2 linked regions of the Daphnia pulex genome follow. The protein of the gene in region 2 interacts with the protein of the main gene of each other region in a pairwise test. Links are inferred from orthologs where the notes say so. Each region holds a gene or a part of one and is shown on either strand. Other genes may lie near its edges.

Region 1 (6,488 bases), on a different chromosome or scaffold from region 2:
AAAATGTGTGGTGGATTTAAGTTCTCCAAAAATGCACTTATTGCTCTCAATATCCTCTACATTGTAAGTTTTATTACATCATCATGTTATGTTCAAATGGTAAAACTTTTCTTTTTTTAGTTAGTTGGGTTTATCCTAATTGGAGTAGCTACCTATGGGAAAGCTGCCAATTTGGTAACTAGCTTACCTATTATTGGTGGGATAGTAGCATGTGGCATATTTCTCTTGGTAATTGCCATAATGGGTTTGATTGGAGCTGTAAAACATCATCAAGTGCTTCTTTTCTTCGTAAGTTTATAAATTTGTTAGTATTGGTGTCTTTTGGGTATGTATAATTTTATATTATTTATACTTTTCAGTATATGGTGGTCCTTTTCATCTTGTTTGTCATCCAATTTGCCATAGCCTGTGCTTGCCTTGCTGTGAATTCAGATACTCAGGTAAATTGTAAATATCTTGTTTTCATTAACAACATATGTTAGCCTTTTTTCTCTCCCCACAGAAAACTTTAGCTGTAGCAGGTTGGAATAGTGCTGACAATGCCACTAAAACAGATGTTCAGAACGCTTTTAATTGTTGTGGATTCCACAATACCACTGATTCGGGTACCGAATGCGCGGATAAATGCCCTACTTGTCTAACGTGTGAGAGTGCACTTGAAAATATGATCAATTATGGTTTCCGTGTGTCAGGTGGAATTGGTCTATTCTTCAGCTTCACTGAGGTATTTTGAATTATGAATTATAATATTGCCTTTTCTTTTAGTTTATATATAAGTAACTCCTACATGTTTACTAACACTTAACTCAGATCTCAACATTGCTTATGTGATATGTAAATAGCATTAAGTATTCAAACGTAATATTGTAAGGAGAAACATGCTTATTTTTCACAAACGAAGGCTCCCAATGAAATTCCTTCTGAAATCGTAGTTATCATTACTTAATTGATATCGAATTAGAGGCATCATAGCTTAATTAAAATTGCATGAACTGTCGCAATACTTTGTACACCCTATTTTATTTGGGGGCTGCACATTAAACTGTTGCCGAAGTCTTAACGTAAAATAATTTTCGGCCTTCGATAGGTGGAATTAAATCTTTTTTCTTGTGTGTCATTGTCTCCATGTTGCGTTCTACAGTTCGTTGGAGTGTGGTTGACCGTACGCTATCGCAATCAGAAAGACCCAAAGGGCCACCCCGGTGCTTTTCTCTAAATTCTTCCTACGAATCCATCTGCCGTTGATCCCCCGTTTGTTCTATTCCATTTTACCGTACCCTTTTTTCTCCTTCACACTTACCATCTTTGCATAACACTCATTCCTAGGACTCAAGGTACTGGTCTCCTCCATAACTAACATGTTCATCATTTTATGGCTTATGTGTTGTTTTGCTTTGAGCTTATTGGACACGGTTCTTTGAATTCATTTTTTGTAGGTGCTTTACCGTAGCTAGGCCTAAATTTAGCGTTATTATTATTGCCTTTGTTTTCTTAAGTTTTATCTAAATTGTTAAATTTAAATAATTTTTGTTTTATTTTCTGCAGCTTGTGGGATTCTCAGTCGCATATCGCTTCAGACACATGGCTGCTGGAATGAACGAGGTGCAGTGATTTTCGAAGACATGATTGGAAACTGTGTCAAAGCGCTCCCTACACTAGAATTTTCATCAGCTCCCATTCCACAATTAATTTTTTTTTATTATTTCGTCATGTGTGCTCATCGTCCTTATTGGACTTCAGTTAGCAAAAGTTTTATGTTTTCCTTTTTTCTCGGAATGATGCAATGCCGAAGTGGTGCGGGATATGCGTAATATAATTGATGTGGCAATAGATGTTGTTCAGTTAACTGAAATACATTATAAATCTAACTATCAAATCGTGCTTTCCGGTATATTTAACATCAACATTTTGCAGGACGTTTGTGGACAAATGATCATGTAGCCTTCGATCGCCAATCAAAGAATTTGTCCATTTCAGCGTCGTCCTCGTCGCTTGAACTTGTCTCTTTCTCCTCTACCATCGATTCACGAATAGCTCGAACACGCTGGCCATACAATTCTTTCTTTTGTTCCAGCTCAAGAACTCTCCCCCACTTTATCATTTGCTCTTCAATTTCTTCCAGCTGTCTTTCAGCTGTAGATTCTTCCTGATCTTCCTCTTGGATGGCAACTGATGCTGTAACTTCATCACCAATTTCTTTCTGGAACTTGTTCCACTCTTCTTCTACAGGGTCTTTGAATTCAATTTGGCGAACCTATAAACAAATATCAAGATATTAGGTTAAATAATAAGTAGAAATAACATTAAAGTCTTTGGCATTGAACCTTGGCATCCATCTTAGGGTCATCAAAAAATCCTTCAGGTATGGCATTAGAAGAAATAGCATCTCCTGGCTGTGAAGTGGATATTTCAGTTCCACTTGGTGTTTGAGAGGACACTTCAGGTGCATCGTCAGTTTCCATGTCCTCAATTAAGGTAGGTGTTTCAATTTTGACTACATTAGAATCATACTTGGGTTTTGTTGAGTTTTTTAGGATGCTTTTTATTGGCATTGGGGCAATGAAATTAGGAGGTTGGTTATCAAAAAAATCTTTCGGAACTCCTTTCTTGGATGGTGAAGCTGAGGAACCATTAGTAGTTATTGAGTCTGCTTTCCGTTTGACAGCAGGAATAATTTGAGGCTTGGTGAACTGTGCTTCAACTTTGGGATTTTTCAAAGAAAGCACTTTTTCTCGGTGTAGTCTTCCATTGACGTGGGCAGTCCAGACCAATTCATTTTTGACAACGCTATTACACACGATGCAAGTCAGCTGTCCAGCACTGTTGTACTTAGCTAGCGGTGAATCTATTTTCTTAGCAGATCCCATTAGCTTTAAGGACGATTTTGATGAACTCGATGCCATTTCAATCTTATGTAGAGCAACAACAAAGTTTAAAAAATTCGGTTGTACAGTTATTAATTTCGTCCAATTTTGCTCTTTCAAGTTTTAATCAAAACAACAGTTGTCGACAACTGCAGAAGCACCACCTGGTGAAGGAACTTGAGCCTATCGACCTGTCATCTGGTAACCAAAAGTTGCAAATAAATTTGAAAATAATTTATCAATTTCACACTTGAGCTCAAACACGGCTATTGTTTTATTCTTCAATGCATGCCTAATCATTGTCTCCGTGTCTCTATCCTACCACATATGCAAAAAGAAAAAAACTCAAACAGACTGACAATCCAAAAATTAAGACAGCCATTGGGTAGTGTTCATGCTTCGTGGTTTGACAAGAACACTTGTCTGAGAACGAAAATATGATCAAGAATGTTACGCCAGCCAATCGCTTGAAAAAATTTTCAAATTAAAAAAGAACTATTTGATATACGTGTTTGCTCTAGATTTCCCTGTTCCACTTTCCCCGACTCACTCTTTATTAGTCCACTCAACCTTTATTACCTCTGTCCCAAAAATCCCACTTTTTTCGCCCTGTGAATAAATTTAGGAATAAATCACGAGGAATAAAGTCTTTTTACCCAAAATATAAACATATTAATTAATTTTTGATCCATATAAAAAATATTATTATTCAGCCATTTTCAGTTTTCAAGCATCAAGTTTTCAAAACATATTATTTGAGCGGTATCTGGAATGCCCATGTGCCATTCAGTAAATTAATTAATCCCAATAGCTTTATTAACATGCAAGTGTCCAGTCTGTATCTAGTTATACCTTCACCAAGCCTTTCACTTTTGTACGAGATCGTTTAACTACTGATGTTTCGATTAAATAACACACTAATGTACAGAATTCCATAAGATTTAAAATTCTTATAGATTGAGATTTCTGAATTTGGCTCGGAAAAATTGGATTGCATTTTTTACTTGAATTTGAATGGCTCAAACGTTAACGCGCATGTAAATTTTTCTTAAATCCATGAAGTCCTGTAAACAGAAAATAGTTACCAACTCCCCGACAAAATGTCGTGACCCGTGTGTCATGCTTTGTTCATTATTTAGTCGCTTACTTACGGACGTTATCAACGGTTTTCATGTCCGGTTCAGAATTTCGATGAGAATAATAGAAATGTAAAGAGAACCTTCTCCTTCTTTCTCTAACGTCCCATTTCACTAGAACTTAACTTGCCATTTTTTCATTCACATTTTCAATGAACGAGCTCAACGCTCCAGCTCATCCTCAGTCCTTTACTTTAAAGAATGGAAAAGGGACAGCTTAAGTAATCGTTTGCCACTTCCGGCATGTTGAAATCGGATATCTCGTTTGATTTCCTTATCACTCGTGGTAGATATAGTAGTCGTACGTAGATATCGCTGTATGAAGTGTACACAGGGATATTTCTCGACGTGAGGGACCTTTACTAGACCCAACGGTCATGACCTCAGAGAGGGGAAGAGATTGTTGTTATCTACGAAGATCGGGTTTCCAAATGTTCAGGAGATCGTTTATATAGAAAGCGCCTTTTGTGAACAGGCCTTTTAGCCGCACAGCTCCATCGAGCGCATCAGGTTGCTGTGCTTTTGCCGTGAGAGTAAAAAAGACGTACGTACTATATACTGCGCGAGAGAAACCTGAATAGCGAGCATCTATTTCCTCGTTCCTTACTAGGCTACTTCCATTTCCATTCTTTCATTTAAAGCAATGGTAGTGTTTAGGAGAATTATGGTTTTTCGAGAGTTGAGCACCAGAGTTATTTTAAAAATATGTTTAAAAAAATTAAGCATTAAAAGTGAATGCCAAAGGATGATTACCGTAGGCAGGAGAGTTATGTCATATATTATGTAGAAACTTCTAGTGATAACACGCTGGCCTTTTTTGTTATTTAAAGAAAAAGTCAAAATTATTCAGTACGTAAGAAAACTTGATTGTGACCTACGAATGTTATACACATTACGATTACGTTTCCTTGGCTCACTACAGAATGAATTCTGTAGATTAGATTTATTGTACAGAGTAAAGATCGACATCGTTAACCCGAGAAAGCTCAGTGCGCATTTAATAAATTCAGCTGAAATTTCTATATACAGCATCATAACTTGTTCTCCCTTATATGCGAATGTATAAGCCAGTGTAATGCCAGCGCTGACTATATAATTGAATTGTATCAATATTAATATTAGCTGTTGGCTAAGTTAGCGTAAATTAGGTTTGACTGTGCCGTCTTTCCCAGCACATCCAGCGTAAACACCATTCATGCGGAACTGCAGCTATCATTATATATCAAAATGTCCCGGAAAATTGAAAAATCACTGTTGACAGTATATCACTGCATTTCAAACTAGGACGGAATAACATGAAACTTCGTTTGAATAACATGGCATATTATTTATTATCCTCATTTATGTACAATTCATGAATCACGATTATGAGTTATTTTTGTTCGGTAAGAAAGTAAACATACAATTAAATCAAAATCAAATCAAGACACCCATTATCACGTAGTTTTACCGAGTTTTACCAAGGTCTCCATACTTTCATACGATCCGCATCCGATTTCAAGGAAGGTGATGAAATATGATCGTCATACAGGCTGATTTGATGTCGATAAATAACTTCGGGTGAATGTTGGTAGTGTTGGTTGGAAGTCAAAGAGCTGGAAGAACAATCTGATGGAAAAGCGCTGGTTGATGGGACACCACATGCAAAAAGTTCCACGATATTGGCATCGCTCGTCTTCCATTTTCTCTCGCATGACATTGAAGAAGGGACCACCTGATGATTTTCCCACTTGTTGCCTTGATTCAAGTTCTCAGCTGACAAATCAGGAGATCCGAAGAATGGAACGGACTTGAAACCGCAAGTCCAGCGAGACGGTATCACGTTGAGCGCATTGCTCGGTGAAGAATTCGGCGTTGATGTTAAATCAGCAAAGCTGTTGATTTCGTTTGAAAATGACCGTCGAGAGCACGAGTCCCGACTTTCCTCCGATGTTGAAGGTGATGAACAAATACGATTTGCAGGTGAAGAGCTGTCCATGACAAATTCGGAAGGGTCCATGTATTTTTCTTCAAACGATGTGCATGAGTCGCTTCCGAGCGAAGGTGAAAGCGATTTTCGGTTGGTCAGTAGTTCGGGAACTAAATTAGTTAAGCATCGGTCAAGATATTGGCCGACTCTTTTTTGCAGGTCTCCTTCCATTGCTTGCTGGGGTTGATTGTGTAAAACTTCTCGAACGATGCGAGCGCACTCGATGAACCCATCTTTAAACCTTGACGATTGATTAGATCTTGGCGAAAAACCATTAGGGATCGGGCAGCTAGTGCTTCCATCATTTGAATTGTCCCGCATGTTATTACGTCGTTCCTTGTGAAGCTTCTGGACGTAGTTTACAGTTAGTTCTAAAACGTCGGCCTTCTCCAGTTTAGCCGGTCGGGAACCCTGAAATTTAAAATTTTTATTTAGTTCCAGCTTCGTTTTTAATAACACTTTAAACAGTTAAAATATAATGTAAACGAATGCAATATGTATAATACACACCTCTTTTTT
Region 2 (5,217 bases):
AGAAACTTTTAAATTATTGATCAAAGTTTGAAAATTGCATGAACCTGCGTATAAAATCTAGACAATGCTAGCAGGATAAAACAAAAAAATTTCCACCCTTCAGGAAACTAACCGGAATATATATCGGTCCGGATTATAAGCCATCCTTCCCCTATTTCGAAATTGGAGAATAGAAGAACAACACAGAAAAAAGTGAGAAAAAAAAGAGGGGGAACGTGCCCTTCCATTTGAATTTAAGCGAAGCCTTGAAAAGGGATTGGGAGCGATAAGCGAAAAGAGAAGCGGCTGGAACACGGCACACCTGGGCGTGTTTTTCCCAAAGAGAACAAAAGCCCGTCACTTTCTACCTATTCTTATTTCCGCCGCAGGCTACAAGGTTGCTTGGTCGACCACATTTTCGATTCTGCTGTGTACCGACTATAGGCTACGCTCATTTTCATCTCCCCTGTCGTTCCGTCGTCTGTTGTTCCCTTGGACAGCGAGGGAGAGAAAAAGACAGAAAGCTTCGACACTTTGTTCAATTCACATCTGGAAACGGCCACAAATTACAACTCGGTGCTCAAAAGTGTTACATTTCAACGTAGCCAGACAGGAGGATGTCATGAGGCTGTGAAGATCTTCGAGATTGTAACGGGCTTCAAAAAGAGGAGCGGTCGCGTCGTCCTTGCGTCATCATGTCCGAGTGGACAGCTACACTGTTGCTTTTGCTGATCCATCAGTTGGCGTCATCGACAGGCTTAGAGAATCTGGAAAGTGAAGGGCCAGTCGTGGGTCACTGGATTCACGTTCAGAAATGCTGTCCAGAAGCTCACATGATGGTGGAAGTGACCAGCAGAACCACGGCCACCACCCACAGCACTGGCTCCAAGTTTGAATGTCAATTGCAAAACGATACATCTTTCCGGTGGGCACCCGATTTCCTAGACAACCATAACAACCTTCTGTCTTTTGAGGGAAGCCTGGATAAAGACAGTGCCGATTCGGATTTTAACATCACCAAATTCTGCATTCCAAACGGGCCTTGCATCTCATCCATCGTGGGTAAACCACAATGTGGACCGGTAAAGAAAAATCAAAACTACTAATTCATTCAACATTTTCATGAAAATGACATGTGTTTTCCATATACGCAAAAATTAGTTTCGAGCCTGGCCCATCTTTACATACGCCGGATTTCAGGAAGATTTACAACTAAGACCTTTCGGTGTCCTGCGTCACGTGGTGGACAAGTTGGCTGAGGTTCCTCGTCACCACGAATATCCACTTGATCAGTATTGCGTGGACGGTGTTAGACTTTTGGGATCCGTGTCACATTTCGGCCACGGATTACCAAACGGTGCCGAAAACACAAGTTCAGCACCGTTGTCGCCTCCGTCAGACGGCCCGGTCTACTACGCTCTCATCTGCGAGCCGGGCCCGTTGGATGAGAGCGACTTTTTCGAAATGTTTGTGCGAATTTTCTACCCCATCGGCTTAGGTGTCGGCCTGTTGGTATTGCTCACGCTAACCGGAATTCATCTCGTTCTCAAAGAATTACGGGATCTGAGTGGTTGCATGCTCATTAGCCTCGTCGTTTCAATGATCGTCACCATGATTAGCAACCTAATTCTCTCATCTGCCGATTCTCGACCTAGTCCGTACCTCAATTTACTTTTCTTGGAGTCGGTGGTTCATGGCTCAGACGTTGCCGTTCATTTTTGGCTCAGTGCCATCGGACACCGAGCATGGACGGCCGTCAGGTAATCTAAATGAAATTGATATCACTAATACTTCAATAAAACCAACGACTTTTTCTTTCTACAATTTGATAGATACCCACGGAAAGAAGCCATGCGACCGGAAGGAAAGCGCTACGTTTTTTATTCACTGTATTCGTGGGGTTCAGCGGTTTGTGTGACAGGTCTAGCGGTTATGGTGCACTTTTTCATTGAAGACCAGTCACACGGGACCACTTCACCTCACAGTTTCTTCACTTGGTACAGAATCGGTAAGTAGAATCGCGAAACAAGTTTTAAGCGAATTTCACATTGCTAAAAGGAAATCATTTTCTACAGGGTGGTTGGGATTAGCCCTATTCTGCTCGACTTGCGTCTTCCTTTTCCTGGTCAATATTTACGTGTACTTTGCCACTCGCTCTACTCTTAGTAATCAGACGGCCTACGGACGGACATTTCACCGCACCAAGGGATAGTAAGAAAAACCTGATCTCCTTTGAGTTAAAGAAATGTAATTAAAACATTCATTTGCATTAGCTTTCAGGCTTACACCCGTCTCTTCCTCATCATCGAAACCGTTTGGATAATCCAAACATTTTCTTGGTTACAATATCCTATTTTAGTCGGCCTACGGATCTTGGCTGACATTGTACTGCCTTTTCTAATTTTTTGGGCTGCCCTCAAAGTAAAAAGGATGGATGATAAGCACGTTAATTGGAGGCGAATCTAAATTATTTTTGATTTTACAGGGACGCCGCGTCATGCACCTTTTGAAAATACGCCTGCAAATGTCGCAATGTTGGCTTTGTCGCCGCTGCTTCCCACCGAAAACAAGAGATCGGGGACACTACTACGGCGAAGAAATGATGGCCCTCGGAACTCCGATCTAGCCTTGTTGTTTAACACTGCGTGGACGATGCTTATTCTTTCTTTTGTACGTTTACATAACTCGAGGCGCATTTAAAAAAATCGCAAATGAAATACACTGAAAGTGAAAACACTGACCTGCGAGAATAGTTTCCCTTCAGTTCGTTGATTCAACATTGACAGGTGGCAACGCGTGACCAGATGACAATCGTCCATGACGACATTGAAGAAGCGGCGAGTGGGCAGTAAAGCCTCTAAGTCAATCAGTAACTCCAAAAAACGTTCGCAATAGTGAACTGCTTCTACGTCGATGTCTCCTATACGTATCATTTTGGAATAACGCTTTAATTACAATTCTCAAAATCGTATACAATAAAAAATCTTTACCTTCCAACGGAATAGTAGCTAAAAGGGAGAGAAATTTGTGCATCAAACGCTGAAGGAATCTTCGCTCAAAATCAGCTTTAGCTTTGGAATCCTCATTCTCTTTGGAGTCTTTTTTCTGAATAACTTTCCAAAACTTTCTGAGTTTAGGAAAAGCATTGAGTTCTTGTTCTCTTCTTCCCTAAAATGTATTCAAGATATTTTTTAGTAATCTCTTGAATTGTCTGAAAAAGATGTTTTTACTGTAATCTTACTGACCTCTGGTAAACAAGTCCAAATAGACAATGAGACCAATTTCTGAACTTGATCACGGATCAGATCGATTTCAAGGCTATTGAAACAATGGTTAAAAAAGATGAGGATCATGGTTCGTTCCTTAAAACTAAGTCCCCATTTTTCATCAAGGGACATTTCCATCAGTTGTTTAAAAAGGCTCGGAAAATTTTCTGGAAGTTTTTGGAAAATCTAAAACAAAAACAACATAATAAATAATGTAAATTAACATATTATCTGAATAACAGAACTAACACACACCTGCCATGCTGATACACGTTCTCTGAATTTTTCATTAACCATGATTACTATTGATAACACATGTGACGCAGAGGAATTATCGGGTTTGTAGTTTGGCCACAAGTAATTTTCCAGATACTGGCTAAACTCAAGCATCATGATCCGGCGAATCATGAATTTTGCACCTTGAACTTCTTGGTGATAAATTTGGTCAACTATGCTGGCGTCGAAATCCATGTGATTTCCACATGTTTGTGGTGCCCAGTATTTTGATGCAACCTGAAGAAAATGTGTTAGATAGTGAAGGATTTGATGCAACAGATTTGTTACCTGTGTGATTCGATCAGAATTGATTTGATCGACTGTTAAAGGTGTTTTATTCTCATTGTTCTTGTTACTCGAACCATCGTTTCGATCTTTGCTTTCCATTTTGTAACAATATATACGTTTTAAAAATGCCTGAAACGTCAAGCAAGTTATCAGCTTGAAAAGTTGAAAACTCGGATGGCGCCTAGTTGCCACAGAAACCGGCAGCAGACGATGAAACCCAAGCGGCGGCTCTGGACACTAAACAAAGCGGTCGATTTGTTTTTTTTTTTTCGTTATGTGATTTTCAGAACAACTGAACAAGTTTTGGAATCTGTTTTACATACAAGTTTTGAAAAAAAATATTGCATATCTGCTATACATCAATATATAGTCAAATAGTAAACCAACAAACAATAAATAATTCCTTCTGAACTATTAAGCATCCGGTTGCTGTAAGCCTGTAAAGGATGTCTATCACAAAGGTTGTAACCCGTTCAACCTCAGTGATGACTCTGCTAGTTAGTCTCACGCTCCGAAGTAGTGTCATTCAGACGTACGATTAACCCCTGATTGAGTATCGTGGCCCGTTACCGTTCACTCGGCAACGCAAAGTGGCTCAATTAAGTTCCAGTATGCAGCTCAATGGAGTACGAGCGTGTACCAAGCAACCTTATAAGCCAAACAACCTTCCCCTTTGGCCTATTTCAATATATTTTCTTATTAAACTCTAAAATTAGGATTTATTAAATTTAAGTGTAAATACGACGTTGCCACCCGCCATTCTCCTTATTTTCCAAAAAAATTTCTGACTTTTTTTGAGTAATTGGTAAAGTGAAAAATAAATTTTATTTTTCAAAGAGGTGCCCAAAGGATTAAATCCTTGAATAATTATGATATCAGTAAACGTTTAAAATCTTGATGTATGGCGCCCGCTGCCTGTGTTGCCACAGAAACATTAGCAGACGAAATCAAGAACTTCAACGATTCAAAAGTTTGTAAATAGTTCCGGACTTCCGGTGACTTTGATCAGTAATTCAGTACTCCATTGGCCACTGCACATTTTGTTTTAAATCAAGAACAGTAAATGAGTTTGATAAGCAAACAGAAAAATGGAATGTATCCCAACTCTATCGTGGACGAAGAATGGGAATATTTGGATCCCACCCCCGATATTCATAGTCTGTTTCTTCAATTTGATGATCGCTTTTTTTCTAGCCAGCTAAAAAGTGTTGTGGTGAAATGGAGCCCGAGAATGACTGTGTATAGTTTGAATCAGTTCAACAACCATAGAAGTGTATTCTAATGAATTTGTTTGTAGGTGTGCTGGTTTGTGTAGGTATGAAGGAAGGAGATCTGGGCATTGCTCCATCAGCCTTAGTGTACCACTTTTGAAATTGAGACCAAGAAAGGATCTTGTTGAAACTCTTCT

Evidence for each region.
Region 1: the proteins of RNA helicase aquarius-like (region 2) and zinc finger protein 830-like interact in a two-hybrid assay, tested with the Homo sapiens proteins (2 studies listed by BioGRID and IntAct, with this or other methods). The link is inferred for Daphnia pulex from reciprocal best matches to the Homo sapiens genes AQR and ZNF830.

Annotation. Positions count from the first base shown.
Region 1 is NC_060019.1:8,116,814-8,123,301, forward strand, and holds zinc finger protein 830-like, read right to left. Parts: upstream 4,199-6,488; 5' UTR 4,016-4,198; intron 3,063-4,015; 5' UTR 2,904-3,062; coding exon 2,325-2,903; intron 2,255-2,324; coding exon 1,934-2,254; 3' UTR 1,702-1,933; downstream 1-1,701. Other genes in the region: tetraspanin-31-like, read left to right, coding at 4-63, 121-288, 360-440, 503-724, 1,546-1,611; protein hairy-like, read right to left, coding at 5,457-6,380, 6,480-6,488.
Region 2 is NC_060021.1:10,929,913-10,935,129, reverse strand, and holds the start of RNA helicase aquarius-like, read right to left. Parts: upstream 4,017-5,217; 5' UTR 3,909-4,016; coding exon 3,810-3,908; intron 3,759-3,809; coding exon 3,501-3,758; intron 3,432-3,500; coding exon 3,225-3,431; intron 3,148-3,224; coding exon 2,970-3,147; intron 2,900-2,969; coding exon 2,721-2,899; intron 2,720-2,720; exon of another isoform or gene 2,606-2,719; coding exon of another isoform or gene 2,465-2,605; intron 2,401-2,464; coding exon of another isoform or gene 2,253-2,400; intron 2,191-2,252; coding exon of another isoform or gene 2,055-2,190; intron 1,988-2,054; coding exon of another isoform or gene 1,812-1,987; intron 1,740-1,811; coding exon of another isoform or gene 1,141-1,739; intron 1,062-1,140; coding exon of another isoform or gene 675-1,061; exon of another isoform or gene 361-674; intron 1-360. Other genes in the region: probable G-protein coupled receptor Mth-like 5, read left to right, coding at 675-1,061, 1,141-1,739, 1,812-1,987, 2,055-2,190, 2,253-2,400, 2,465-2,605; DNA-dependent metalloprotease dvc-1-like, read left to right, coding at 4,873-5,048, 5,107-5,217.